Caenorhabditis elegans: one gene and its partner. The protein of the gene in region 1 interacts with the protein of each later gene in a pairwise test. Each region holds a gene or a part of one and is shown on either strand. Other genes may lie near its edges.

The links.
Region 2: the proteins of cup-5 (region 1) and F53G12.8 interact in a two-hybrid assay, tested with the Caenorhabditis elegans proteins (one large-scale study listed by BioGRID).

Annotation. Positions count from the first base shown.
Region 1 is NC_003281.10:7,577,353-7,594,625, reverse strand, and holds cup-5 (Polycystin cation channel PKD1/PKD2 domain-containing protein), read right to left. Parts: upstream 9,944-17,273; 5' UTR 9,938-9,943; coding exon 9,485-9,937; intron 9,436-9,484; coding exon 9,252-9,435; intron 9,208-9,251; coding exon 8,896-9,207; intron 8,530-8,895; coding exon 8,246-8,529; intron 8,167-8,245; coding exon of another isoform or gene 8,137-8,166; intron 7,965-8,136; coding exon 7,857-7,964; exon of another isoform or gene 7,837-7,856; coding exon of another isoform or gene 7,630-7,836; intron 7,577-7,629; coding exon of another isoform or gene 7,484-7,576; intron 7,440-7,483; coding exon of another isoform or gene 7,305-7,439; intron 7,258-7,304; coding exon of another isoform or gene 7,096-7,257; intron 7,050-7,095; coding exon of another isoform or gene 6,840-7,049; intron 6,796-6,839; coding exon of another isoform or gene 6,660-6,795; intron 6,503-6,659; coding exon of another isoform or gene 6,414-6,502; exon of another isoform or gene 6,312-6,413; intron 5,198-6,311; coding exon 4,970-5,197; intron 4,924-4,969; coding exon 4,822-4,923; intron 4,090-4,821; coding exon 3,951-4,089; coding exon of another isoform or gene 3,844-3,950; exon of another isoform or gene 3,636-3,843; coding exon 3,545-3,635; intron 3,404-3,544; coding exon 3,298-3,403; 3' UTR 3,045-3,297; and 1 more. Other genes in the region: Y80D4G.2 (DUF3955 domain-containing protein), read left to right, coding at 74-251, 623-774; R13A5.11 (Serine/threonine-protein phosphatase), read left to right, coding at 1,314-1,510, 1,558-1,834, 2,034-2,429, 2,475-2,567, 2,611-3,027; R13A5.15 (Serpentine receptor class gamma), read left to right, coding at 6,414-6,502, 6,660-6,795, 6,840-7,049, 7,096-7,257, 7,305-7,439, 7,484-7,576, 7,630-7,836; gda-2 (CMP/dCMP-type deaminase domain-containing protein), read left to right, coding at 11,647-11,836, 12,243-12,514; mfsd-6 (Major facilitator superfamily associated domain-containing protein), read left to right, coding at 15,217-15,381, 15,767-15,846, 16,004-16,110, 16,157-16,291, 16,341-16,432, 16,595-17,101, 17,217-17,273.
Region 2 is NC_003279.8:108,183-121,194, reverse strand, and holds F53G12.8 (uncharacterized protein), read right to left. Parts: upstream 7,389-13,012; coding exon 7,332-7,388; intron 7,111-7,331; coding exon 6,772-7,110; intron 6,652-6,771; coding exon 6,514-6,651; 3' UTR 6,487-6,513; downstream 1-6,486. Other genes in the region: Spermatocyte protein spe-8, read right to left, coding at 325-432, 485-707, 817-953, 1,010-1,249, 1,295-1,624, 2,242-2,642, 2,987-3,086; col-45 (Nematode cuticle collagen N-terminal domain-containing protein), read right to left, coding at 3,794-4,109, 4,221-4,476, 4,529-4,763, 5,280-5,456; F53G12.9 (GST_C_6 domain-containing protein), read right to left, coding at 7,534-7,599, 7,668-7,769, 7,813-7,956, 8,292-8,495, 8,543-8,668, 8,714-8,830; rpl-7 (Large ribosomal subunit protein uL30), read right to left, coding at 8,968-9,176, 9,224-9,440, 9,488-9,685, 9,935-10,034, 10,130-10,140; Ras-related protein rab-11.1, read left to right, coding at 11,151-11,190, 11,239-11,360, 11,412-11,703, 11,749-11,930.

The DNA of each region.
Region 1 (17,273 bases):
CCAGAAAAAAACGTTTTTAAACTTCAACATTTTCCACATGCGCTGTGAATTTTCCGTCAGTTTAGAGCCAAAAATGTTGTTCCAAATGAAATTAAATTATTCGAAAAAAGCTATTCGTCATAAAGTTGCTTACCTGATGACGTTGTTTGGTATTGCCGTCTTCATAACTGCATGTTTAATCAAATTTGCAGTAGATGTTGTATTCTTCATGGCTACTGTAGATTTGCGATATGCTCATTATTATATTTACGGTAAGGGCAGTAATATCTAAAATCTAAACTTATAAATGTTGTTTTTAATTAATGAACATTTTTCACGAACATGTCTCAACTGTTTTTCAATTTGGCAAACTCCTGTTACTTTGAAACAAAATTTCTTGTTTTCAACTTTTGTAACACCTTTTTTCAAATTTTTTGGTCGTATACATAGCCGAACCAGTTCTTGTATCTGATTGATAACTAGGTGTTGAATTGGATTTTATATTCTCAAACTAAACTTCGAAATTTTAAAATTTAAGAACCGTATTTGCCATATTAGGCAGTTGGTACCTTGGTTCTATTGCCCTAGTAGACAAAATACGGTATAATAAACTAACCATTTCTTGCGTAGTTATAATTTTTAGGTGGAATAATCTACCTGATCTTCTCGATTGTCTTGATCTTCCACGTCTCCAAATGTGTCGTTGAGCACACAATAGAATCATTCGACAAGATTCAAGAAATCAAGGATGAGGAGTTGAAATTGAATGAAAATGCATTAATGGAAACGGTTTGATAAGGGTCTCTGCGTTAATTATCCGTTAATTATCCGTTAATTATCCGTTAATTATCCGTTAATTATCCGTTAATTATCCGTTAATTATCCGTTAATTATCCGTTAATTATCCGTTAATTATCCGTTAATTATCCGTTAATTATCCGAATATGGTCAGAATAAATCATATGATCTGTTAATTCAAATATCCGGGACGTAATGGGGTCGCTTTCCTTCTGCATACCTTCCTGTTGACAGCATGTCTGCTCGTCTATCTCGTGCCTCCCTACAGGATTTCTTTATGCTTACCCGTCTAGTCGCCTACCGCGTGTCTACCTATGTGCCTACATACCCACCTACTCGCCCACGGTTGCCTGCCTGCCCACTTCACGTCTAAACTTTTTCATGAATTACTATTTGAAAAGTATCCTTTTTTAGTTTGAAACGTGTTGCCCACTTGTAAAATTTACGGGGAAATTTTCTTTTTAATTACACGTTCCAAATTGCACAGTTCATATCACTCTCGAAAGTGATTTATTTCACAATATTGTCGCAACAAAATGGCGGAAAAATCGCGAACTCCCGTCTCAAGTCGAGCAACTTCAAGTGGAGTGGAAACTGCTCACGAAGCTCGATCTAAAGCAAGATCAGGGAAGAAGGATCGGGTCGTGGCAATGTCTCCAATGAATCGACAACGCAAAAATAAGTCGCATGTATTAAATGAAAAGGATGAGCGTCCAGGTGGTATTATTAAAGAGTTAGTTTAATTTTTTAATAATTCTTAAATTAATGAACATTTTATAGAAAATCAAGCGTTCGTTCAATGGCAAAAACTCAACCACCATCAGGTCGAACTATTTCTCTTACTGAGATTAATAAGCCAAATGCTCTGTCAAAAAAGAATACTGAAATCAAAGCAGCAGTTGAGATTCAGAATCGATTGACGAAGAAAATGGCGAAAAACTCTGAGAGAAGAAAACAAATGGCACATGGACCGGAGATGACTGCACAAAATCGAACACAGGAGAGAATTGATTTTGTTGATTTCCTCGATCGACATTATCAAGTAATTCAAGCCGGGGTAAGTACGGGGAAAGTGGGATTTCATTTTGAAATTTGAATTTTCTCCAAAATGAGTACATCTGACCGATCCGTGTTTAGCGCCGCCCATTTTTAAACCAATCAACGAGGGTGGCCGGAGAAAATCGTTAATTGGCCAAAACTTTTGGAGGGAATTTAAATATTTTTGACTGACCATTTTTCACGAATTATTTTTTCAGGTTCACAAAATTCAATACACAAAGGAGGAATTTGAGAATGTGATCTACGAGGCTCAAACCATCTTCTCATCGGAAAAAGCTCTTGTTGACATCGATCCACCATGTGTCGTAGTTGGAGATCTTCATGGACAATTCAACGATCTTATCAACATGTTCATTCTATTGGGACGTCCTCCTGAGACAGTTTATGTTTTCACTGGTGATTATGTTGATCGAGGAATGATGAGTCTAGAGTGTATAATGCTCTTGTTCACCTATAAGATCTGCTATCCCGAGAATATTGTGCTGCTCCGTGGAAATCATGAAATTGCAAGAGTCAATAAGAAATATGGATTCTATGAAGAATGCGTGACTTCGATTCCAAAGTGTGGAGAGGAGATTTGGGCTTTGTTCCAGGTATGTGTTCTCATTCTAGACGTTCTGTATTTAAAAATATTTCAGCGTTGTTTCAACAATCTTCCAATCTCCGCTTTGATCGCTACAAAGATTCTATGCATGCATGGTGGATTGTCTCCTGCTCTGACATGTCTTGATGTTAGTTAACAGAAGTCGTTTTTTCCTAAAAATTCCATTTCAGGAACTTCGCAATCACCCGAAACCAATTCGCAACCCATTCCGTGGAATTGTGAATGACATGCTCTGGGCTGATCCGGATCCATCTGTTTTTGAATGGAAGGCAAGTTCCCGTGGATCTGGTTTCACCTTCGGAACAAATGTGATTGATGACGTTTGTAAACGTCTTGGTGTCGAGCTTATCATCCGTGCTCACCAAATGTGTTTCGATGGTTATTGGGTATTGAGTGGACGGAAGCTTATCACCATCTTCTCTGCTCCAATGTACTGCAACTTCTACAAGAACGCTGGATGTGTGTTGAAAGTTGACGAGACGTTGGGCATTCAGATGATCGCATTTGTTCCAGCATCGGAGAATATCGAGAAGATCATTGAAGAGAAGAATCGTGTCTGGGATATTTCTATTGATTGTATTGATTAATACTTGGAATAAAGTTATTGAATTATTTGAATAAATTACAATTTATTAAGTTCTCAAGAAATCACAAATTATAAATCACGAACAAAACGGAAGAAGAATATCACAAAAGTACATAGCACCACATATACACATGATAAGTAGGTTGTTCAGAGGGGAATAAATATGAAAGAGGAAGGAGAAAGAAACGGATGGGATGGAAGATGAATGAAGATGACCAAAAATACAGACAAAGTTGTTTTTGATAACAAAAGAAAATTAAATTGAGAAACTCTATACATTCGATGGCCTAGAATTGTGAGGATCGTTTCCATTGGCATTTTGGTCGGCTAATACATCTTCATTTGAGTCGTTCAGCGGGTTGGAGAATGATTGAAAACTGAAAAACCAGAGGGATTATTTATCAATTTTCAAATTATCTCGTTCAGTTAATAGAGTATCGAAAATTTTTAGTAGATTTTAGTCGAAAACTTGCAAAACGAAACAAGCCCTCCTAATACACTTTTAAAATTAAAATTACCGAGTTCCATCTCTTAAGCTGCTCAGCCAATCGCGAGCATTGTCAATGGCATGAAGAGCACGAAGAGCTCTACTCGAGTCGTTGCCAGCCGCTGAAATTAGAGAAACTGAATGTTTTCGAACGAACTGATGAACAACTGCAATATCTAGTTAGTTTTTTGTACGTGCTACTATGCTAACTGTAATCTAGAGACTGTTATTCTATATTTTAATTGTTTTAATGCTTTTGTGATTGTTTTAGTACTGTCAAACCACTACACGACGCTGTTAGTTGCTGCTGTCACAACACCATCACCAAAACTAGCAACCAAGTTTGTTTGGCGTGCATAAATGTAAGAAAAATGAAAAAGTGTGTAGAAAGCCTGAACAGAGAAAGATTCGTGTCACTTCAACAGGCACGCACCGACCCAGATTGAGCAGATTAGACGGTGCGTAGGCGGATCGAGTCGTCGGTGAGCCGAGTTCCGACGGCGGTGGATTCGATTCCACGAAATCGCGAAGACATCCACGTTTTTCGATGGCTCGAAGACCGTCTGAGTAGCGATCCTGGAATGAATGAGATATAATTATTAACTTTTACCGTTTTGTTATTTCTTAAATTTAAAAATTCATTAACATGGTTAATATTATGGAGGCGCGTAAAAAATTCCCCGCCCTGACCAGACCGTAAATTCAGTAGAAATTTGAAAAAAATTTCGTTATTTTTTTTATTTTTTTCAGTTTTTCAAGTCGAAATTATGTTTTTTTTTTAAATAAATGCATGTGAAGTTGAAAAGTGATTGATGCGCACTTGCACCTAAATTTCAAAAGTCAAATTTTCTGCAAACCTATAATACGTATGTCAAAAAGGGTGGGTTCTCATTTCTTTGAGCCAATTTCGAGTTTCACTAGTTACAGAATGATGAATTCTCAAAAAAAAAAAATAATTTGAGACTGGTGGTGTCTATGCTTTCTCTTTCAGACCTCGGCAAGACAAAAACTAAATCATTGGTTACACCGAAATCTGACATTTGACTAGTCTCCTTGTCTTCTGACATAGAATTTCATTTTTAGCTGCGAGTAAGCACTTGATCATCTTTCATTTTTCGCCGCAATAATTAAAAATAGATGGATGGGCAAGGAAAATGAAGAGCTATTGCTTTCTTGTTGTTTTCATTTTTCCAATTTTCATCAACACTCAAACAGCATCCCATTGGCGTGGTCTATTGCTCTTTCTTCAGTTGTTTTTTCGAGCTTTTTGTTCTCATTTTCATGTTCATTTGCTCTGTTCATTATTACCTTGACGACTTCATATGCATCCATGATAATTGCAATGAACAGTGATAATACTACATAGATAAAGAGTGACACGAATAGGTAGATGTACACTGTCCCAAATACCTGAAATATTTAAGATAATCTAGAAAAAAAAAAGAAAAATCTTTACCTTGATAACTGTATTGGAATCATTAATAGTGTAAAACGTGGCGAACATATCGTCACCGTTGAGAAGCGAAAATAGAGCTTCCGATGATTCTGCCAGTGTACGGAACTTCATACTGTACGGGCCAATAATAACCCATCCGGCAATCAAGAAACCAGCGTAAAGTACAATGGCACACGTCATGAAGCGCATGATATTGGGTGCCGATCGTTTGAGCGTGAGCATGAGGATCTGGAAAATGGCAAAAATAAACATTTTTCCTTCACTTTTATCGTTTGAAACCAGCAGAAGCTTTTTTAAAAGTTTTTTTAGTATTTTAATCATTCCATTATATTTAGCTTTTCTCTTTGATTGCGGTTATTTTTACTTATAGAGTGATTTTGTTAAATAATTGGCTCAATCTAGAACTGGCTTGTTCTAGATTGTGCCAATTATTTAACATAGGATCTTGCTTTTTAAATTTTATCTGAAAAATTAAAGAACGTAAATTTCAAGAATTTTCCCGAATTTTTATAAAATTAAAATGGTTTTTTTTCTATTTTATATTTTCCTTTTTTCGGAAATTAGCTAGAACTACTCACTACAACATTTAAAAATAATTTTTAATTTTTTTGGAATTTTCAAATTTATATCTTGCGGATAATCGAAGAGCAACTATCAAATTTTTTTTTTGGCAATTATTCTCATTTTTTGAAATTATTTTAATCATGTTTTTCTCACCAACAGCAAAAATTTGAATAAAAATTCGGATTCATTTTTGTAAACTTTCAGAAAAAGATTTTCTCTTAAAAGAAAGAGTTAAGAATATTTAAAAATTCGGTATTGTTGACATCATTTTCTCGTTTCCAATTTTCAAGATACCAGGAAGAAACAAAAGAGGTATGAAAATTGATTTATGTTTTGACATAAGACCCTCTTTATTTTAGTTGTGCCAAGGTTTTAGATACGGCTTTTTGACTTCTCTTTTAAACTTTTCCTTCTCTCAAACGTGATACTTTTGGGGGCACCAGTGAAACAATATCAAATTAAAGAAATATTTAATCTCTGGAGAATTTTCATTTACATTTGCACTTTTCACATCAAATACACTTTGACATCATTCTAGACAATGCGTGATTAATTAACTCAGTTTCTATGAACAACAAAATCTTAATCACGCGTTGTTAGACGTCGTCTAATCAAGTCGAAGTTTTCCAGTTCGAAGCTTTCAATATATATATATACATACGCCAATCCTTAATTTTGTAATGTTTGTAGTATGCTTTAGCTTGTTAATGTAAATGGATCCTTCCATCTACTCCCCTTAATTTCCCCAATTTTCACAAGTTTAAAACTTGTTGTTTGCAGGGCAACATTCTATTGGTCGGTGGTCTTTTCAATTAAATTTGAAGACCATTGAGCTCTTTTCCTTTTTCTTTGTCTTCTTCATTTCGAACAATTTTTTCGAATGAGTTCCATTTTCTCGCATGGAAACGAAACAGTAGTTTCAGTATCTGATGGTGAAATTAGAAATGTGGCATATGCGTTTGATTATAGGTAAGTTTATTTGAACATATTTTAAACGTAAATTAAGCAAAAAATTTCACGAAAATAAGGAGCTTAATCGAATTCTGGACATTCATCCGCTTTTTTTTTATTATATACCAGCAAAAATTTCAACATTTCGCGCCTAAAATGTAATCGAGATTTCCAGACAACCTCTACTTCTAATTCATCTACTCTACACTGTTCCATCATTTATAGCATATCATAAATGCCGCACGTTTTTGACGAAGGAAAGCGTCACTAGCAGCTATTTCAATGTGATTTTCACAAATGATTTCTATATTGTAAGTACATAGACCTTTCGGATAAAAAGTGTAAACTTTTTCAGAATGTTGCACTTTTTATAATCGACTTTCTATTTACACGTCTTCCAATTTCTGGTCTTTTTGAAAATCTTCCTTCATACATCCCAGAAGGAATACCTATGACTATAATCTACTTTCTCTCGTATTACTTGATCTATGTGAACTTTTATTCAATAACATTAATATGCATCAATCGAATGACTTCTGTACTTTTCCCGTATTACTGTAATTCGGTGAGCCTTCCCATCCGAAAAATATGAATCTCCTAAAAAATTAAAGTTTTGGCAAAAGAACGTCCGCAGTGCAATCGCACTTGTCTACATTCTTCCATTAATTACTACATGGCACTTAGTCACCTATGACGCTTATTTCTTACCACTATACGAAAATCGATCCAATTATCAAATGGTATACAGAGTGAAACTGTTGATAGGATTTTTGGTATGGTTTCCACCAAACACAAAATATGAAAATCAATAAAATTACAGCCTAGAAACAGTACGGCGCTGTGTTTTGTGTCGATTCTTCTCGCCGTAATATGTGTTGCAGCGAATTTCACAACAATTGTTAAGTACAAAACGACAATTCAAACAGTAAAAACGGCTAGTGGTACTCAGAACGAAGTTAGTTTGAATAATATTATATTAGAAGCATAATCAATTTTAAGTTTCATCGAAAAAGAACACGACGAGTAGAAATTGCAATGTTTTCTATAGCGTTAGTGGTATGTTTTTCACTGGTACTGCAGGCTTTATTACAGGTAAGGAAATAATGAATTATTGGAGTATTTACTTTTTTAAAAATTTTTTATAGGCTCTGATAATGATCTACACTGGTACTTCGTCATTCATTCGTGAAACATGTCAAGATCTACGTGCATTCGCACTGGATATTTCCATATGTTGCCCACCTTGGATAATGTATTACACTACAGTACACTCGCATAAGACTACAATAACAAGTAATTCCATATCCGGAGTTGGTATTCCAACACGATCAAATGTTGTTGTAATGAAATAAAGCAATTTGAAACAACTCACATTATATTGACTGAAAAATCCAAAATATCGAAGAACTCCGACATATACCAGCAAAGCTCCCATTCCGAGGAAAATCGAAGTTAGCGTGAAGAGGGAATTGTCGAAATCCTGAAAAGAAAGCAATAATCTTAGTTTTATGCAAGAATTAATGGAAAATAATTTTCTAATCAATACAGAGGGGCAATTTGGTTTCGATAAATCCCGGGATGAAAAGTTGATGGAAACAATGGGACGGACAGATACAGAAAGGAAGTTATTGGAAATATAAATTTTTACTCACATTTCTTGTAGTAAAAGTATTTTTGTTGAACTAAATTTAATATATTTTATGTTTGAGTATTGGAGGGAATTTTTCATTTGAATTAAACTTAAATTTTTATAAAAATTACCTGAAACTCGATGGATATTTTTGCAACAGTTCCAATGATAATAAGCGCATCGTTGACCACAATCATCACATACCACAAATTCAGAAAATCGAGTTGATCGGTAACGGTGATCTTATTTTTGAGTACATTCTCAAAATAGTCGCTTGTTTTGATTTGAAGTAGATGGGCTTTGATGAGGGCTCGGCAGCAGAGAATCAGTGATAGAATGCAAAGAATGAGAACGAAAATATCGGTTCCGCCGATTAAAAGTGTGTCAAATGACCATCCAACACCTGAAACTTGACCTAACTCGAGATTGATTGAATTTTTATATTTTGATATTTTAATATTACAAAATTCATTTTTATTTAAACACAGAAGTACACCTAGAAGTTAAATATTTCAAGTTAATTGGGAAATTTTTGAATACCTAAAATCTAAATGTTACTCTCAAGAAGAACTTTTTTAGGCAAATAAAGTTATGTAGATTTTAACACGAAGTTTCAGAAAGACTTTTATAAAAGATTTGAAGTTATATTTAATAGCATCCCATTTGATGATTCTTCACCATTAATTATTGGAATTCTATGTTAATTGGGTAATTTTCGATTACATAATCTATAATTTTTACTAGCTTTACTTTGAAAATTTGAAAAAAGTGAAGTGTTCACCTTTGATGATCCTTCCATTACAAACATTCACATAAGAAACCACAGTTGATAGAGTGACATGAACCTGTCCTGTATGCCTTGAATTATCAAATTTGATAGAAACTGATATCTTATAGCATTCTGGTTTCTGATCTCCGGCTGTTGGTGAATAATGAATTGTTCGTAGTCGAAATTTGAATTGGACCGTCGATATCTTGAGCGCGTCTTCTGGGAGAAATGTGATTCCACGAGTGGCGAGAATATCTCGAACAGCATCATCGGATTGTCCGATTTGGAAGACTTCCGTTTCTGTTAGATTCAGACGTTTCGTGTCTAGAAATAAACTATTTTTATTTCATAATAGTATGTTTATATACCTTTCACTTCACGAATGTCGAAATTATAAGTGTTATTGTTCACTGTTACGTTGGAAATTCGATCGATAAGAACTTCAATAGGTGGAATAGATTCAAAACTAATTTGAGCGCCAAGATTTCCAGATGGATGACTTACAACGTCATAGGAAAATGAAGCAAATGAATCATTGCGAATTGAATAATACTGAAACAATATTGATCATTTTACAAGATAGTTCTCCAAAGCGACTTACAGAATTAATCAAAAAGCTCAAATGCTCGGATAATCCTTGATCATCATAAACCGAATATCTTCCTTCAGCTGGTGGATATTGTAATGCATCTCTGTCGTCATTCCATTCTTTTAAAAATCGATGTCTCATAACTGTTGTGGTGTCTTCGAGAAAATCAACATGAGACATGCGCATTTCCGCGAATAAAATTAATTGCATGGTAACGAAAACTATTTTGAGCACTTGTAGAACCAACTTATAGGGCAGTTGATGTCTGACTTTCCATTTCTCCATTGGATTCATAAAAAAGAATTGGAGATGACGGCGAAGACGTTCGCCGGTTTCTCTTTCGTGGTGCGGAAGATCTTCCATTATTTCTTGAAAATTTATTGTTGGCCTTCGAGAAGCATTTGAAGAAGCATTCGAAGCATTATCGTTGAAGTCTGAACGATCAGTTGTGCTCCGGCGAGACATCTGAAATCATGAAATATTAAATAACGTTGTATTAATGAAAAATTGATTTCGATGCGAGTGGCGGTTAATATAAGCGTACAAAATATGAATTCTAATTTTTAAAAAATATATATTTTTATGATTAACATGCTATTTATAAAAAACAAAAACAAATAATTGTTTGAACAATTAAAAAATAATTTTCCGAGACCAACGCCCGCGTAAATCCTACTAGTGAGGTACACCGCGCGGTGTCTTTGCGTACCATGCACAATATCTGACGCCGGTCAATCTTATGGTATTTATTTTCTCTTTAAAAAACGAAGAACTAAAAAGAAATACTCACCTAAAGTCCAAAATTATCAGAAATTATCGTTATCAGTCAATCAAAAATTGGTTAAGACCATGCAAACATGCAATTTTGCAGTTTTCAACCCTTAAAACAATACATTTATTATCTCACCGATTCGAGGGGAATTTGCTCTAACCGCATCGATCTCGAAGCTTGGCTTCTGAATATTCTACTCATCTTTCAAGAAAGCTTAGAGGTGTTATTTAGAGCCGATGTAAATGGCGAACATGGGATAGATAAAAGAGCATTTGAGAGAGAGAAGCGCAGGGAAGCTAGAGACACGTCAATTTGTTTTTTTCTGTGTTGGGTTTTTTTTTCCTTCCGTAGATAAATAGCGGTTGGAATCTATACAAAATTGAGCATGACTTTTGAAAGGTGCACACAAAGAAAATAAAAAGCGTAGTACTTTCAGTAAAGAGAAATTGGAAAATTTTTTGAGGGCACATGTACATAGTATTTTGCAATGACGTTAATATGGATAAACTCGGAGAGAATTATAAATTCAGAAATTTGCATAGAATGACGCACATTTTAAAAGTGAAATTGCAGGTTATAAAGTTGTAGTTAAAAAAGTTTGAGTTATTACCCAGTTGCGAAAGATTTCAATTTATTACAAAAATTTCGGGCTGGTTCACAGCGCGAACATTTTCAAATCGTAGCCGCCGCAAAAAAGGTATGCACCTTTAACAACCACAGTAAACCATTGAAATTTTTCTTTGAATTTTTAGTCATATTCATATTCTGTCGTATAATTTTATCTGTTTCTTTTTAGATACAAATAGTGAGAAAAGGAAGAGCACAACTAACAAACGGGCAATGGATTACTGTCGTTTTTTGAAGGCGCAGTGAGACAGTAGGTACCGTTTTTGAAAGTTTACAGAAGGCAACGTTTGACAACTACTTCAATTTTTGTTCTTTTTTTTTGGTCGTACCCCAAATATCGAAAAAAGTCTCTGCAATTTTTAAATTTCCTGTGATTTCAATAAAATATTAAATTCTGAATTTCTATTTATTGAACTTCGATATCAAAATTCCTCTTGCCACACACAAATTTTTAAAATCTAATACGTTTCCATGTCTGCAACTATCGAAAACACCTCCACAATATTCAGTTCATCATCATTTTTTGTTTGGTTGACTGGCTTCCGATCGCTCTTTTCCTTTTTTGTTCTTTTCCCACGCCTTCTTTTTCTTCATCTCTGGCGTACTCTCTCGATGTCAAATTTTTGTTAAAGTGAAAGTTTTTGGCAACTATAGTTTTTACAACATATTCATTCATTTGTAGTTTTGATATTTTTTTATTTATTTTTGTTTCTAATAAATTTTTCATCCGTGAAAAAACTCGGTTAATCGAAACATTTCTTGAAAATTCAGAAAAATGGAATTCATGAAACTCGCAATCGAAGAAGCCAAGAAAGGAATGGAGAAGGGAGACGGTGGACCATTTGGAGCTGTAATTGTCAAGGATGGGAAGGTAATCGGTAGTGGGCATAACATGGTTTTAGTCACCAAGGATCCAACAGCACACGCCGAAGTTACAGCCATCAGAAATACTTGTAAGAATGTCGGTAAGTATTCCTTTCGTTTTTAACTTTAGTAAAGGAAACAAAATTAGTTTCTTGAATCCAAAATTTCGAAAATAATTTATAATTTTTTACAATTGTTTTTTATTTAGTAAATTCCTTACAAGATATCACTGTTTGGACATCACTTACTGCTTTGATCTTCAGTGTTTGGTTTTTGACTTTTTTGATTGCCTATAATTTGGTTCACTGTACTTTTTAATTTAATTTAGGTAAGAAGTTACTTCCTGGATTCCATGCAAGCCTTTACTGAAATACTAATTATTAGGGGTTTTGTGAGAATTTGAGATCTGCTAAAAGATCAGAAGCGTCTTAATTTATTTTCCCTATTTATCCTATCTACTGTTATATAATTATATTCAAATTGGCCATATATCTATTATTTATCCAGACAACTTTGATCTATCCGGTTGTCAACTCTACACTTCCTGCTATCCATGTCCAATGTGTATGGGAGCTGCTCTCTGGTCTCGTGTCGATGCAATTTACTACGGTGCCACGTCACAAGACGCCGCGAATATCGGATTTGGAGATCATGAGTTCCATGAGTTCCTTCAAAACCCAAAATCGGATGATAAACGAAAGTTGGAACAATTCAAGGTGGACAACTACTTAGAGCCATTCCAACTTTGGTCAAAGAAGGATAACAAAGAACTTTATTAAATATAAACAAATTCTCTGGTTTTTGTCATTTGTTGGTTGCAAAAAAGTAATGCATTATAAATAAACGTATAGGAGTGTGAGCATATGGGAGCAGCAAATATGAATAATTGATTACAGGAAAAAAGACGAAGGTTGGGAGAATGTAGATGACGTTTGTATTTGAAGGTTTTAATTGACTTGTAATTTGCTTATCAAAAACTAAAATTTATACAAAAATGTAAATATCTAGTTACTTTTACTAGGCCTTTCAAATAAAAACAGAATCTTGGAAAAAGTTTGCAATGTCCCATAACATCTTGCATATAAGACTAATAGAGTAAATACGGTATTTCAAATTTGGAAAGCATGAGTTCGAATAGATAATTTTAAATCGTAAGAAAATAATGTTTTCAGAAAATTTTGTAGAGCACTTTTCTTCCATTATTGTTGCACCGCATTGCTCAACTCTTTTTTAAACTTTTCTTCAATTTAAGCAAAAGTTATTTTTCTTTGCCGCGTTTTTCTAGTGGATACGATGGATCATATACCTTTTTTATTTTGTTTTCAGGGTTCACATCGGGAACATATTCTCAAATACCCTGATCACAATTTATGTTTTGGTCTCGGACCCGTCACCCAAGTCATCATCTCTATTTCCTCGTGTTTTTGTTTGAATTGTGACAAGTGAAGTGTTGGGTCTTCTTGCATTTAAACATCAACGAGCATTGAATGAATTGGTGATGATGACGATGTCTGGATTATTATACCAAAATGTCAGATTAATCATGATTGCTTTGACCTATGGGTTACCATTTTATTTGGTTCCAATTTTACTGCCTGCTTGTCTAGTTCTTACACAAAAATTTGGTTCCGTTTTTAGTTAAGCGTTAAACTATTTAATTGAAACTGAAAAAAGGCAATCCGTAAATCGAATTTCATAAATTCCAAAGCTCGGAGTAGACGCCAAAATACCGAGGCTGGGTAGGCGGTAGATAGGTACGCCTAGCAAAACGCCTACCTACTACAGAAGCCGCATAAAAGGACAAAATGGAATAACTGGCTATAGAAAATTTTGCTCACTAAGTAGTCCCTCAAATTCCTAGAAATATTGAAACTTCTTGAATGAGTAATCTATGACAATCTAGCCCTCTTCTCTTACTCCCCAATTTTATCCTCTCCGGAAAAAAAGGAAAAAAGAACGAAAAAATCCACAAAAAAGGACGTCTTCTTTTTCTTTTTTTTTCTTTCATTTTTTCTCCTGTTTCTTCTTTGCTTCGTTTCTCTATTCCTCCATCGGAAAACTGAGAAGATGTCAGTAGGGAGCTTGGGACGAGGAAGGGTTTGAGCACAGAAAAGCTCTTTTCTACGTCTCCACTCTTTTTAACGGGAGGAGACGTTGTCGGGGGCTTGAAGAGAGAGATAGAGAGCACATACACATGCACACACTCCCAACAACTTCTCTTTTCTTTTCTCTACTCCGTCTTTTTTTGCTTTATATAGATTTGCGGTTGACGGGGAGAAGTGTGTACCTTTATCGACTTTTTTGAATTTTTTTTCTCTGTAATTCGGATTTAATTCTACTTTCAAATCCAGGTTTCTTCGTTTGACATCTTCATAGTAAATAACTAAAGATCTGAGAAACCAGCTTGTTAAAAGGACTGGGAAAATATTGACAGAAAATGCAACTATCACATTTCAACGGATTCATTTCTGTTTTAGAATTGAATTTTTATGCTTTGAGCTTTAGCGAAAATTTTTAAATTTTCAACCACGAACTGGAAATCAATTATTTTTCCTGTGAAAGTATTTGCCAAATTTTTAACTTGTATAATATTAAAAATTAAAATTTTGATAGATCCCTATTGTTTCAAGTTTTCAAAATAGCATGAGGTCCCCACCGAAAACATTAACAGCAAACCTTCTAAATACTTGTTTCAAAATACTCCTGTCAACTGGTCCAACAAGTTTCTCGGACGAAATTCTCAACAATCCTCTGCCATTTTTTCCCAGTTTTACGATACTCTATAACCTACTCGTGAACTTATTTTCCAGGTAATATTCTCTTTTATTTCTCTCTATACCATCAATTTAGCTTCAACAATTTTTCGAAAAAGCTTATTCCTCTATTAAAGTTGAATCCAATTACTCAAGTTTCCCCATATTCCACATATCTTCTTCCTTTGAAAACGTCATTTTCCCCTAGGAATTCTCAACATCCAGTATCGGTTTTGTTTACTCTAATTGGAAAATAAAAACTTGCAGAACTCTGAACTTTTCTATTCATGAATTATTCTCCAAGACGCCGTTTAGCTTTTTTTTAGTTCCGGAGAACACGGATTTGTTATTCATTCGTGTTCAAATACTTCAAAAAAAATTTCAAAATTTTTTTTCAAATTTACTTCACCAGTTTCAGTCAGGTGGAATTTTTCCCTGAAGCCACAAACACCAATAACAACAATTATGATTTTTACGTATAAAGATTATATCTAAACAATAATATATACTTTAAAATTTCGAAATCTTTATTCTTAGAAGCTGTGCTCTTTTTCGGCTACTCCGCACACGTCTATAATTACATGACTTGTATGTGTGTGTTTGCTCCGCGAGCATTTCTCCATTTCCCCTCGCCATTTTTTCTTTCCTTTCGTTCAACGGTTGTCTTCTGAATAAGAGTGACGTCAGAAGACATCAATGATTTCGAAATTTTTTGCCATTTTTCAGGTATGGAGAACCATGTTGGTGAGAGGACGGTGAATATATTTGGGAAGGTGTTCCCGAGGGATGCATTCATATGTCGTCTTTTTTATTTATCATTTTTCGCCAGTTTCGGAAGTTTGTTCCCACTTCTAGCAGTTTATTTCAAGCAGTTGGGAATGACAGCGGCCCAGGTAAGAGACTTGTTTCAATGCTTTTGCGGTGGGTACTGCCTCCAGTCTTTTAGATCAGCCTACCGCCTTTTTAGCTTTCAAGTTTTTGTTATACACAGTCTGCCAAAAGTATTTTGTTTGGTTTCTTGATGATTTTTCAGCCGCTCCAACTATATTCAGAGTGGAGTTGATAACAAATTAACACTACCCAAAATGTAGAAAAAGCAATTCTCAATATCTTGCCTGTTAAAAGTTTTCTTCACAACTGATTGGGTTTTAACTTATGCTTATTTCAAACATTTTGAAATATTACCACAAAATCAAAAACACATACATGTTTTGTCAACACTGTAGTAATAATCCTCAACTAAAAATTTTAAAACTTCAATGATCTGTAACTTTCCAGGCTGGCTTCCTCATCGGCTCAAGACCCATCGTGGAGTTCCTTTCTGGACCATTTTGGAGCCAATTTGCCAGTCGTTTCAGGTAGGTGTTTGGTCTCAAAAAGTGTCGTCACATGAAACCTAATAGGTATTTTCCTCCTACTCTCCTTTTCGTCATTTTACGACACTTTTTGTTTTTTTCTGCAACATACGTCTAATTTGGGGATCGTTGAAATCAATGAAAGTTTTTATAATTTCAGAAAGCAAAAGCTTCTGCTTTTGTTCTCATTGGGATCCCTAGTGCTCTTCACTTTGGGAATTGGACTAGTTCAACCAGTAACTCCGTATTGTATAGTCTACGTGCCAGGTTGGTTTTTTAATGCGAAAATAATCACAACAAAGAAAAATTGCAGAAGGCAATAAAACATGCCAAACTATGTTAGCCCCGGCTGGAAAAATCATTCGAGGTGGAGCTCTTGGAATGCTCAAAGAGACACTTGTTGGTGGATCAACTAGACCTGCCAGGCAGAGGAGGCAAACTCAGAGTCGTAAGATTAATTCAGAGATAAGATTCAAAATAAATTATTTTAATTTCAGCGCTCGTGGAAAAAATTATCGATTTGAGCTCATTTGATAGTGAAGAAGATACAGTTGCTGGAATTGCACCGGAGTATATCACAAGGGATAGGGTGAGATTTCATGAAATTGCTCAGGTTGTGCATAAAATAAATCAGACTATCATTATTAAAAACTAATTTTAAAATTTCAATTTTAAAAGCAAAACACATAAATTGTTCGTCACTGTGTTGAAAGTTTTACTGATAAAATATAAATTTATGGCCCTGTTTCAGGTTTGCAACTACAACGAAGACAACTATGGAATCCTTGTCTCACCTCCTCACTCAACTCGTGTCTACCGTCAACCAGCAGTTGAACAAGCTTTCATGCTTCTTCTCATTCTTATCTGCCTTTGTGAATTCTTCTCAGCTCCTGCTTTACCTCTAGCAGACGCAGCAACTCTACACTCGGTACGGGATAATCCAGCCGAATTCGGAAAGATTCGATTGATGGCATCAGTTGGTTGGGGATTCGCTATGTTCATTATGGGAATAGCACTCGATTATTCGGATACATTCCGAAATCATCCATGTCCTGCTGAAAATACAACAGAGAAAAATTATACGTTATGTTTCGTAATGTGTGTCATATTTATGTTGGCTGCCATGGGATTGGCCAGTAAATTCAAGTTTGATGATGATGTTCCCGCACCCGGAGAGGTTCATGGATTGGTTATGGATACGAGAGAAGCTGAAGTTTCACATGTTGTTGCTGAGAAAGCAAGGGCGAGAATCACGCAGGTATGATGATTGAATAAAAAAAAAAGTAGTACTATAATTTATCAATTTTACATCTTGTTCAAGGTACTTACTTTGAACAAATCTCGATTTTTCCTTAAAAATTCGAATTTTGCAGTCGGAAGGTGGTGGTGGAAGTGAAAATAGTCTACTGCTTGCAATGAAGGCTCTTGCA
Region 2 (13,012 bases), on another chromosome or scaffold:
TGTTTGCAAATGACGCAGAAGTAGACAGACGTTTCAGAAAAATTCAAAAGATCTTGCAATAAGAGAATAGGAAGGAAGGTAGGCAGACAAGGTAGGAAGGTTTGTAGGTAAGCAGTGAACTAGCAAAAAACGACATTTTGAATTCCAAAAAGTCATAACTTGTTGGCGTAAAGTAGGTGTTCTAGCCTCCTCCCTTTCGCACCTCACCTCAAACATTTTCTCTGTGTACTTAGGCTTTCTGTCTGTCTGTTTGTGTGCGTTGTGTGTTTGATTTAAAAAATACAGTCAAATATTTTCAGGGGTGGGGGGATTTTCAGATATTTATTACACTGCCACCGCCGCGGGTTTTCTTTCCTTATTGTGAATTCTCGGAAGAGAATTGACAAGCTTATGCAGTATCCCACTTGTCTCAATTTCATGGAATCCGACTTCCTGGAAAATTACTAATTTTTTGAACAAAAAACCGATAAAATGCTTCACAAACCTCCTTAAAAATCTGAATAATTTGCTTGGAGCTTATGCGATCTTCGGTCTCGTACTGCCTGCTTTGCTCGAAAATGTTGGCAATGAACACTGGTAGCTCTACCTCAACGGCCAAGCTGATTCTCTTCCCGATGATCGCTTTTCGGAGCTCATTTCCACGTAGCCCGCACGTTTCGAATGGCGTCTTTCCGTCCGTGTAGACTTCGTACATTAGAGCGCCGTAGCTGGAAATCATAGAGACTTGTGTGAGGTTGATTAACCTTCAGACGCGGATAAGGTTTCTAGGCCACCGCTGACGCCACTACCAATGTCTATGTATGCTCGTAGGCTCACCTATAAATATCAGAGGCAGTACTGTACAACCCCTTCTTCAATGTCTCCGGAGCCATGTACTTGACCGGCAGACATCCTCCCTTTCGCTCCTTTATAGCAACTCCTTTGACCGACAATCCAAAGTCGGAGATTTTCAGCTGAAATTTATTTTTTCATTCACATAGATTCAGAAATTTTTGAAAAACAAACTCACGATCTTTTTGGAATTCAACAAACAATTTCTCGCCGCAATATCCCTGTGAATAACCTGCTTTCCGTGCAAATAATCAATACCGCAGGCGGCGTGGAAAAGGTAGAGAATCTTGTCCTCAGCTGACACTTTTTCTTCCTTGGAGAGTAGAGCGTCCTCCAGGGATTTCCCGTCGCAAAACTCCATGACAATCATGATGGGCTCCTTCATGGTGCATACTCCGTAGAATTTTATCACATTTGGCTGAAATTAATTTTAGTTTAGTTCAACTTGAAACAGGTAGCTTACATGAGACAGGGTGAGCATCACATTGGCCTCTCTTAGGAACAAGATCTTCTCATTGGCGGATAGATGGTTCTGGTGCAAGGTCTTCACGGCAACAGTGACCGGGGCTGCAAATACAGATGTCTTCAGCGATCCTTTGTGCACTTCTCCAAACTGTCCCTCTCCCAACTTCTTATTCAATGTGACCTGCTCGTTGTTCAGCTGCCATCCATGTCGTGCCAGGCCACAGATCAACGTCATGCCCTCATAAATCGGCTTGTGATTTCGCTTGTGATAGGCAATAAGCTCACAGATGGATTTGAAGGCGTACTTTTTGGTCCAGTAGAGCTTTTTCTGAAAATATCAGTAAATTACATCTGCTGCAAATATCTACCGATATAAACTTTCCAAGTCGAGGAGCGGTGATGCAATGCACCATGTTCAAATCAGGGGTGAGAGGCTACTGCCGTTCGGCAAATTCGGCAAATAGCCGGTTTGCCGATTTGCCTGAAACTATAATTTCCGGCAATTTGCCGGTTTGCTTATTTGCCGAAAGTTTTTCGAGGTTTTTTTTGTAAGACGGAAACACTGAAAACTGTGCCTTTTCGAATTTTTTCCCCTTTTCTTTAGATATTTTCATATAATTTGCTTACTTTTCGAAACAGATGTAGAAATATTCATAGGATGCATACAATTTTGCCGATAAAATTTGAAATTTTGAAATTTAAAAAAAATGTGCAAAAATACAATTTTCCGAAAATTTTTGGCAAATTCGGCAAATCGGCAATTTGTCAATTTGCCGCCCACCATTGGTTAAAATAATTTATGTAATTCGTGATGTCCGCATAATGCTTCAGGGAGCACAATGAACACATTGCGATGCAACATGTTCTAAATTTGAACTTCAATATTTGTATGTATCTCGGTCTGATTTGAAACGAAACTAAATGATAATACCAAACAACTCTCACCGTCTTGGTCCGTTTCACTAGAACATGAATATTTTGATACTTCCACTTGATACTAATCACATAGGCGACCCTCTTCCCAATTTCCGTCATTCGAATCAAAAAGTCTCCATGATTGCTCAACATCGCCTCACACTCGTTCCTTCCCATGAATCCATGATAGAACGGGAAATTGTCTATATTATTCTCAACTCGGCCTACTTCATCGCTGGGCACTTCAATCAGTTGATCTTTCACTTTCAATCGTTTCGAGTTGTTATTATCGCTAGAGGGTTTTGGTGGAGGTGGTGGTGGTGGTGCTTCGCATGGCGTGATGGCTGGTGTGAGAGGAGTTGGTTGGACGACTAACTGGATTGGGGTCTTGGCAAGATTGTCCAGTGCCGCGTTTCTCTCCTTTTGGGTTTCTGGAATTGGAGTAAATGAGATTGTTGAAACAAAACCCAGAAGTTATTGGGCCCGTGGGATGTTGGCGGCTGATTGGAGTTCCGATTTCGGATTTTTCCCTGTGATTTTACGAAAAAAAAAACCGCGCTTATTTTTTGGTATTTTACACGCCACGCAGTGTATCATAATACAACTCTTTTAAAATGGGAAATTTTTCTATTTAGAGTCAAAAAGTGGCGCTAACACAGTTTCTACCAGTTCAAAAGACTAAAAACTAAGATTTTACATCATTTTTTTGCAAGTTTTATTATGATATTTAGTCAGCTGGGTTACTGTAATTTTAAGGTAGGACTACTGTATTTACCTGGCTTTGTATCCTCACTATACGTAGCAGTCGTCTCTTTATCTTCTCTGGATTGGGTGTCCTCTGGTTGTAAATCACCTTCCGAACTTTTTGATCGCATTTGTTGTTTGTTAAAAACTATTAAATGAATGAATTTCTTATCGATTTTATCGATTTCAATCAATAAGTTGGCTTTTTTGTATCACGTGAACTTTTATTTAATTTAAATTTTATTTCAGAATGAGCGAACAAGCAACTTACAAGTTTTACAAGCACTTTACAAGTTCATACATGTTTGAATAACAATATAAACTCAAAGCATCAACAACCACCGTTCAAAATTTGTCTGAAAGTCCAGTTTCAGCTGCCAATTGTGCTTTATTCAAAATTCCAAAAAAATTATTTTCTTCAAAACTAAACACCCAATTTTTTAAACTTCACCAGTATATTCATTCATGTTTGAATAACAATACGGCCGACTCAACGCAGTGCAAATGAAATCGTGGGCGGAGCTTAGTAACCGCGGAGTGTCGTTGCGTCGTTGTTTATTTTTGTGCGATCGTATTTTTTTTTAGAATATTGACTGATTATGCAGTTTGTCAAAAATTTTGATGTTTTTTTTTCTAAAATTTTCGATTTTTCTGAAAGATTTATTAAATCATCCAGCTTTCGAGGAGAGGGATCTACATAAAGGACTCAAAAATATGTTGGGGCACTTGGAACTACTGGCAAGAGAATCTGATTTATTATCATATTGCAACAAAAGAAAACCGAATGACAAAATGAATAACGTCATGAAAATAAAATAAAATATCAATCGAAGAATCTTTAATAACCAGGTGGAGTTCTTGGCGGTGGGCAATGATCGCATCCTCCCTTCTCACCAGCAGAGCCATCGGGTCCTGGAGCTCCCGGTTGCCCAGGTTTTCCATATGGTCCCGGATTACCTTGATCTCCCGGAGCACCCTTCTCTCCACCGGCTCCGTCCTTTCCACGTGGCCCTGGTGGTCCCGGTGGTCCTTGTGGACCCATTTCTCCTTGTCGTCCTGGTGGTCCAGGTGGCGCCTCTCCGGCGATCGTCTTTCCGTGATCTCCGGTTTCTCCAGGACGTCCTGGATATCCGGGTGGTCCTGGTGGTCCAGCTCTAGAAAGTTAACATAATTTAATGGAGAAAAATGAAAATGAAAATTATCGATTTTTTTCCTAAAATGATTGATTTTTTACCGAAAACTATCGATTCTTTAGTTCCACTTACGGTCCAGCATTTCCTTTCGGTCCGGCGCTTCCCGGGGTGCCTGGCTCTCCAGATTCTCCAGGGTAGCCTCGAGATCCTTTGTCTCCGGGCGCTCCAGTTGGTCCAGGCGGTCCTGGTGGGCATTCACGTGTGCATGCTTCAACTGCATCAGATGGTCCCTCTTGATAACCTCCGTCGGCTGGTCCTTGTGGTACCTGACCGTCTTTTCCATCGGTTCCAGGTGCACCGTCTTTTCCGTCCGTTCCGTCGACCCCGTCTGTAAAATTAAACCAATACACCACAATTGCCTCGCAAATCTAAAAACCTACCATCACCCGGTGGTCCCGGTGGACCCCGTCTACACTCGGCATGTGGTGCTCCACCGCCTCCGCCAGCGGCCTCGGCGTATTGCTGTCGTCGATTTCTGCTTGATCGGTCTGGAATATACTGTCCGAAGAGCCATGTGCCTTTAACCGCTCGCTTGGTTCGGGCCACGAGCTCCTCGTCCCGGCCGCGGCTCCGAGCCATCTTCATTGTTTCTGTCCAGAGGTCACGGTTTCGAGCCTGTAAGTTTTTCGATGCACCATGTTTTTTTTTATTTCATATTTTCCACAAATTGTTCGTGTTCAAAAAAATCGATAATTTTCAATTTTTTTTTAATATTTAATCGATGCGCCATGCTGCAAAATTTTACAAAAATCGATAAGTTCCTGAAATTTCAAATCTGGTGTGTTGAGTCCGCAGAGGCAATGCAGTGATTTTACGCGCAAGTTTAGTTTTTTGCCAATTTGCACGTCAAATTCTATATATTTTTGTGTATACATTTTCCTTGGTGATAAAAATTGGAAAAAAGTAACCTTCGAAAACAGAACATTTAGCGTAGGGATAACATCGATGCGCCATGACAGGTTTGCGGTTTTTTTTTAAGGTTTTGAGTTTGAGTTGACTAAAAAATTGCGAAGAGTAGGAATTTTTGGAATGTATGTCAAAATCTCAAACGATTGAAAATAAATTTCGAAAAACTTTTTTTTTATTTGAATATTTCCAAATCAAAATTTCTAAATTTTTTAAAAAAATTACCTGACAAAAATGGGCATCGTTAAGCAAATTTGAGTGAATTCTCTGAATTGCCTGATAGGCAATTGGTGTTAACACCACAATCGCCAGAATACAGGAGGTGGAGAGGGCGACGGCGGAAAACGCGTTGCGGCGGAATCTGCCGACTTCCAAGTCATCTTCCTCGATTAGGGACTTCATTTCTTCGGAAAGACTACTCTTTCTGCCAGTTTTTTGGATAGTTTTATACCAAGTTCTACCAGTTTTCCATTAAGATCAAAATCTAAGCGTAGAGAATTCCTTGAGCGAAAGTGTTGAGCTGACCGTAATCGGAAATTGGAATCTTTGTTTCCGTTTTGTCTCGTATTAAATAACTGGTCGGATTCGACAATTAAAAAAGTTTTATTAGTTTAAAACTTTGGGGAAAAGGGAAACAGGAGACTTTGTGCGTCAATTTTTCAAAAAATTTTTGAAAATTTCTGAAATGTTTTTTTTTTTTTAATTTTTTGATTTTTATTTAACGCAAATATTACGTGGCCACAAAATTCTGAGAATGCGTATTGCACAACATATTTGACGCGCAAAATATCTCGCAGCGAAAACTACAGTAATTCTTTAAATGACTACTGTAGCGTTTGTGTCGATTTACGGAAATCATTTATTAATCGGTAAAAATATTAAAATAAAACACAATAATGTCAGAAAAACTGAAGAAAATGGAAAAAAAATCAAGCCCGTAAATCGACACAAGCGCTACTGTAGTCATTTAAAGAATTACTGTAGTTTTCGCTACGAGATATTTTGCGCGTCAATTATGTTGCACAATACGCATTCTCAGAATTTTCTGTTCCCGTAATATTTAAATCAAAAAATCAAATTTCGCTCCATTTTCCACGAAAAGCAAGTGTGATGTATTGGCTCCGCGTACTCAATGCACCCTATTTGACGCGCAAATTTTCAAAACGAATTTTTTGCGCGTCAAATGTGATGTATTTGTGATTTGACATTCAGTCTAAACTTCACGTGTATTCAGCTCGACCAACGCCTCGAAAATTTTCAAAAAAGGCGGGAAAAAATATTTGAATTCGCCAAGAGGAATTTCACCGCAGCGCGTGCAAAAATGTCTGCATTTGCGCGTGAACTTTGAAGTCTCTATGGACTCAATGCACCATATATGACGCGCAAATAAATTTCGAGGAATTCTGAAAAATCGACAATGAAAAATCAATAATCTTCAAGAACCAATTTATCGAATTTTTCACATAATTTCGTCATTTTCCTTTTTTTTCTCCTCCTTTTTCTCTTCCTTCTTATCCTTCTTGCTTTCATCTTTTTTCTCGTCCTTCTTTTCGTCAGCCGCCGGCTTTTCCTTTGGAGCAATTTCACTTTCGCATTTCTGAAAAATCGATATATTAGAAAATTCAGAAAACTCGCAAATCTAGATCTCAATAATTTTAGAAAAAATCAATTATTTCATAGAAAATCGATAAAACACTCAAATCGCCGTGAGACCCACCAAATTTTTCGGCGGATTCGGCAACTGAATACCATTCTTCATTTCGTCTTCCTTCTCACTTTCAGGCAGCACTTCAGCAAGTTTCGTGTCCTGGACCACTGGTTTCGGAGGACTTTTCGGCTTAGTCGGGGCGTCTGGTGCTCCCGGAGCTTCTTCTTTTTTCATCTCCTTCTCTTTAGTCTTCAGCGGGTCCGTAGAGGTCGACGGTGGAACCAGTGAGTTCACTTTCGACGCCTCTTTCACATTTTTGTTCGCTTTTTTCTTTTTCCCACCGCACAACAAAATTGGGAGAAGAAATAGAAGAGGAACAAGTATCATTTGAAATTCTGACTGGTTTTTCTGGAAAATTTCGGAAATTTGCGCGTAAAGTCTGTTGTTTTGTAGGTTCACGATCTATTTCGCAATAAACACATCATTTTATTCTAGAATTCGCTTTATTTAATTAAAATTCAATTCAAACTCAATTCAAGCTCAAACCTCAATTAAAACTCTGCGCGTCAAATATGATGCATCTGCGCAAAATCGCTCCGAGTCCCAAACAAGAACTGCAAAAAAATTACCTGGGCAACCAAGACTGAACAAGTTCGAAAATTAGGGAATACATTTTTTATGCCCATATTGTAATACCCTTTAATTGTCACGTAAGAAATTTTTTGTTTTGAAATTTTTTTAAAATTAGAATATAAATTTTATTCGAGCATAGGTTAAAATCTACGAAGCAAAATCATATTACATTAAACAAATTAGCATTTTCCACGAAATTCAATCCTCCGACGTGGTGCACCAATCCGACCAGAATTCCTCTTTCATGCGCGTCACAAATGTCATCTGAAACCACATGCCCTAATTATAGAATTTTTCAAATCTCGTGGCCTAGAAAACTCAAGGCCACCCACCAAATTTGGAGTTCGGTCCTTCATGAATTGTTTTACGCGGGCCTCGTTCTGCAGTGGTGTATATTTGAATTGAGCCAGCACGGCGAACGCCTTGCAGTCGAGCTGAAAGGCCGAGTTTTGGCCGAGTTTTTTGGCTGCCACCTACCCAAGACGGTTCATTGACATCGAAAAAGTATTTATTCGAGGCCAAAAGTGAGGCCAATGCCTCCAACATTGCTTCAGTTCGGCAGGCGACCTCCTTTCTCGCCGATTTTCCGGATATTCCGTAGCCTCGCACTCGGCGGCGTGTCTGAAATGAAAATTTCGGAAAATTTAGATCTTGGCACAGTTTGCGCGCTGGAAAGCCAAAAAAATCAATAAAAAATTGTGAAATATCGACTTTCTTGCCTTAAAAATCGATAATCTAGCCAAAAATGGTAAATTTTATAGGAAAATTGATAATTTTTGGTGATTTTGGCCTAATATATCGATTTTGCTTCTGAAAAACCAGAATTTTATCGATTGTTTCAACAAAAAACTACTAATTTACAGATTTTCCGAGGAAAAAAAAATCGATTTTTGATCAATTTTTTCAGTAAAAAATCAATATTTTATCGATTTTTCCATAAAATATCAATAATCTACCCGTTTCTGCATCTGCGGTACAATCCAATTCCTCCAAAAATAGAGCTGAACAAGCCCGAAGTCTTCGATAATCTTACGATCATCGCGGAGCCACGTGAAATCTTGGCCTCGCGAGTAGGCGAGCATCCAAGTAAGCTCGTCGAGCAAAGCGCTCAATGCGAGAGCCTGTGCTCGCTCTTTTGGAGTCAGGCCCGAGTCCAGAGACTGGAAGAATATTTAAGCTTTTTCTAAAATTCTAGTTTTAAGCCAACTTTTCCATATTTGGCGAGCAGATAATCAAGTCCTTCCATCAAATTTTTGAAGAAATACCCATCGACATCAATCAATGGGTATAGGTGCTCACGAGGGAGTACATTGTAGAGAGAACATTGCGTTGTCTGGATTTAAATCTGGACTATGTTTATTAACCTAAATGCTCTCACTTCATAGGGAATTAGCTTGCTCCGAAGAAAAGTTTCTAGAAATAAACAGGATGGAGCATAGTAGGGAACAGTGACTGTTCTCGGGAGAGTAGTCAGCAAAGCGGTTTTACGATTCATCTGAATGATGAGACGCTTCATGAAATGCGAGATGAGTCGAGCCAAGACGATCACGTTTCATGATTATTTATGCACATAATTAAACAACGTCAAACAATAACGATTTATCCGGAAGGAAGGTATGAACAACAAACAAGTTAGACCATTTTTCGGAGAAGGTTGTTGATTTGATCTTCTCTGTTTCCGAAGTCTCCTCCTTCAACGAAGTGGTTGGTCTTCTTGGTCCATCCTCCAGTTGGGTTGTTGAGCTTGAAGGGCCACAAGAAGTTGGTGGCCTCCTTGAAGTGTGGTCCGACGGTGGCGATCTCGTGGGCCAAATCCTCAAGACAGATGATGTTGAACTTTCCTGAAAACAATTAAATAAGAATTAAAAAGCATAAGTTTTCAAATTACCGAGGCTCTGCTCGACGATGGTGTTGTCGGTGATTGGGACACGGTTTCCGTCAACCTTGGCGTATCCGCGCTTGTAGAGGAGATCGTGGATGGTCTTGTTGTTTGGATAACCCCAAGCTACGTATGGCTCGATGATACGGAGAAGTGGAAGAGTAGCCTTGTTCAGCTTGACGAACACTCCGTTGTTGATCTGACGAAGACGGAGGATCTGGAGAGCCTGAAAACAAAGAATGGTTATTAAAAAACTCATTAACACAATTTCACCTTTCTTGGCTTTGGATGAAGCTGGTTGATACCGCGAATTCTGACGACGAAGGCGACCTTGTGCTCAGCTGGAACGTAGAAGTCTCCCTTGGCCTCAGCCTCGCGCTTGAGTCTGAGTCCTTCCTTTTGGGCGTTTCTGTACTCCTGGACGTATTTCTCAGCACGCTTGAAGTATTGGGTCTTCTTCTCCTTGTTCTTCTGTAAAAAATTTTATTTTTAATGCAGGATTAGTTCAAATTAATTTTCAAACACCTAAAAGAAAATTTAAACTTTAAAATTTCGAATTGTCATCGTGTTATTGAGACGCATTCTGAATTGAATACACCTCACCCAAAAACAAGATAATTCTTATAGCTCAGTTTTGACGGCTGGCTTGGATAATAGTGGATCCTAAAACCAGTGCTTTTGAAGAGCATTTTCTGTTTTCTGACAGTTAAATAAACTTACAGCGGCGACGGTCACCTTGTGTTGAGCAGCCTTGGTGCGGGCATCGGCTCTCTGCTTTCTGCGCTTGAGCACAGTTTCTGGAACCTGTGGCACTTTCTTTCTGAAAAACCAAGAATTAATATCAAAATTGAAGTATTTGAAAGTCAGGCCTAAAAGTAAATTTCAATCTAATATAAATTTATAAAGAAAACTTACGTTGGAGCCATTATAGGCGATTGATTACCTGGAAAATCAAAATATTAATCAGAAAAGAAAATTATAAGATATTGAAACAGAGGAGCAAGTTTTCAAAACTAAATTATTTCAGTATTTTTCGAATGTTCAGCATTTTCTTCACGAAAACTATAAAAAACGCGTATCAGAATTACGGGAAATTAGTTCTAAAATTTATTCTGATGAAAATTTAAGAAAATCAATGAAAAATGCTCTGAAAAAACGGAAAAATTCGTTAGGCCAAAAAGAAAAAAATGTAAAATTGAGATTCCGTTGCGCCGCTGCGAAAGGGGTACGGTAGTTGTCGTGCCGAGACCCGAGGAGGCTTGCGCTGCGGCTAGCGTCGCGTACCCTCAGACCGACGTGGCTGCGCCGGTGCGCCTGACCTGTTTTACGTTCGATTTTATGGGTTTCACACGCATTTCGCGTTCGGAAAAGCTTATTCTGGATGTTCACAGCCATAAAACTAATTATTTTTTTCAATTTTTAGCTGAAATTATCAAAAAAGAACACCCAGAGAAAGCTTTCCCTTGTTAAAAATATCCTGTTCAACTATTTCGAAATCGTGTCGACAAACAAAGTTCGGCCGCTCACCTTCCCTTTTTCGGGTATGATAAGCCTCAAATACTCTTTCATAACACACTTCTATATACATTTTCACATTTTTCTTCTGACTAACCACCCTCATATATTGATAAAATTCAATATAAAACTCCCAACTCCATATACTTTGAATCATTCTTAAATCAAGTTCACTTATATTTTTTCAATCCCCGTCGAGATAGACAACCGGTTCCTGACTCCGCGTTTGTGTCGGGAACAGAACATAAAAATATTCTCCGCCGATAAAACAGTGTCTCGTTCTTTTAATATCGATTTTACAACAAAACATTGCGCCCGGCTGATGAATCATGTGACCAATGCCCTTTTTCTTTTTTACAATCGTCCCAATATATACACAACTTTCAAACAAGCTTTATCATTTTACAGCTCAGCAGTAAAGATGGGCTCTCGTGACGATGAATACGACTACTTGTTCAAGGGTAATTTTGTTTTTCATTTTTCAATTCCCAAACGAAAAATTGTTTCAGTTGTTCTGATTGGAGACTCAGGCGTCGGAAAGTCGAATCTCCTGTCTCGTTTCACAAGAAATGAGTTCAACTTGGAATCAAAATCAACAATCGGAGTCGAGTTTGCCACGAGAAGCATCTCGGTGAGGAACTTCATTAGAATACACTTATGATTCAAATTATTATTTTTGTAGGTAGAAGGCAAGACAGTGAAGGCTCAAATTTGGGATACTGCTGGACAGGAACGTTACCGTGCCATCACATCCGCTTACTATCGTGGGGCTGTCGGAGCTCTCCTAGTCTACGACATCGCTAAGCATGTGACGTACGAGAATGTTGAGCGATGGTTGAAGGAGCTTCGTGATCACGCCGATCAGAACATTGTGATTATGTTGGTCGGAAACAAGAGCGACTTGCGCCATTTGCGTGCAGTTCCAACAGACGAGGCCAAGATCTACGCCGAAAGAAATCAATTGTCGTTTATTGGTAAGTTAAACTAATCTATTGCGTTTATATATTTTTTTTTTTCAGAAACATCTGCCCTCGACAGCACCAACGTTGAAGCAGCTTTCACTAATATCCTGACGGAAATCTACAAATCAGTATCCAACAAGCATGTAGGAACTGACAGACAAGGATATGGCGGTGGCAGTGGTACAATCATTCCTTCGCCAGCGTCCGACCCACCAAAGAAGCAGTGTTGCATCCCATAAATCACATCGTGTTTTTTTTTTTCAGTCTAACGTGTGTATTTTTCGAAATGCCTTGTCCATTTAATTTACTGCCCCCGAAATCCAAATGATTCGCTCTTAACATCCGCGAGTTTTATCGAATTCTTGCAAGCACTGCGTTTGCAAGTCTTCACCGTTTTGGTGTGTAGTATTTGTAACTTTCTTTCAGATTTATTTGTAATTGCCTCCATCCCCACCCCTTCCCCCTCCCCCCCCTCCGAACCTATACATTCGTCCCTTTTTCTTCAGAAGATTGTGATCTGAGTTGAGTGGTGCTGCTTTCTTACCATTTATCCGACTCAAGATTGTATGCCAACTTCAGCGACGTATTTTGAATATTTTTTCTTCACCCTTATTCAATATTATTCTGGCCCACCCCCACCCAATGTGTATATTACCTAAACTATTTTGGTTATTCGTAATGTGTGTCTCTTGTAGAACTCGATACCGAGAAACCCTCGCCAAGAAAGCAACGAAGACATATGCACATTGTTTTTAATCGAGTTTTATTTATTTCGCAATTTTTTTCCAAATAGTCATTTTCCATGAATAAATAAATATATCTAATTGATCTCCTATTTTGTGAAACATTTTCACTAAACGCTTGTACCAAATCACGTCCAGTTTTTTTATTTTGAATTCAAAATGAAAATCCGCATTTTCGCGCCGAGACCACTACAGTAACCTAAGGCCTAAAAATGTGCATTTTTGCGTGTTATTCTATGCATTGTCCGTACAGCGTTTCCATTTGAATTTTTTGAAGTTTTCCGATAAAAAAAAAGAAAAACTCCAAAAAAAAATTTCCCATTGAAAAATGTCGAAAAAAGAGACGCAGAGAAAGCGCTGCAAGACCCCACATCTGTGTGTTTGTCCTTCCTCAATCCTCCGGCTCTCTCGTCGCCTCGCCGTCTCTTTCAAATTCTCCATCTCTCCTCCCGTCTCTCTTAGTTGTTCTGGTGTATGCTTGCGTGCGTGCGTTGCGGACTACAAATCAGGACTTTTTCAAATTTATTTTAATGCTTGTTTAATTTTTAATTTTCCACCCCGTTAATTATTCTTATTTT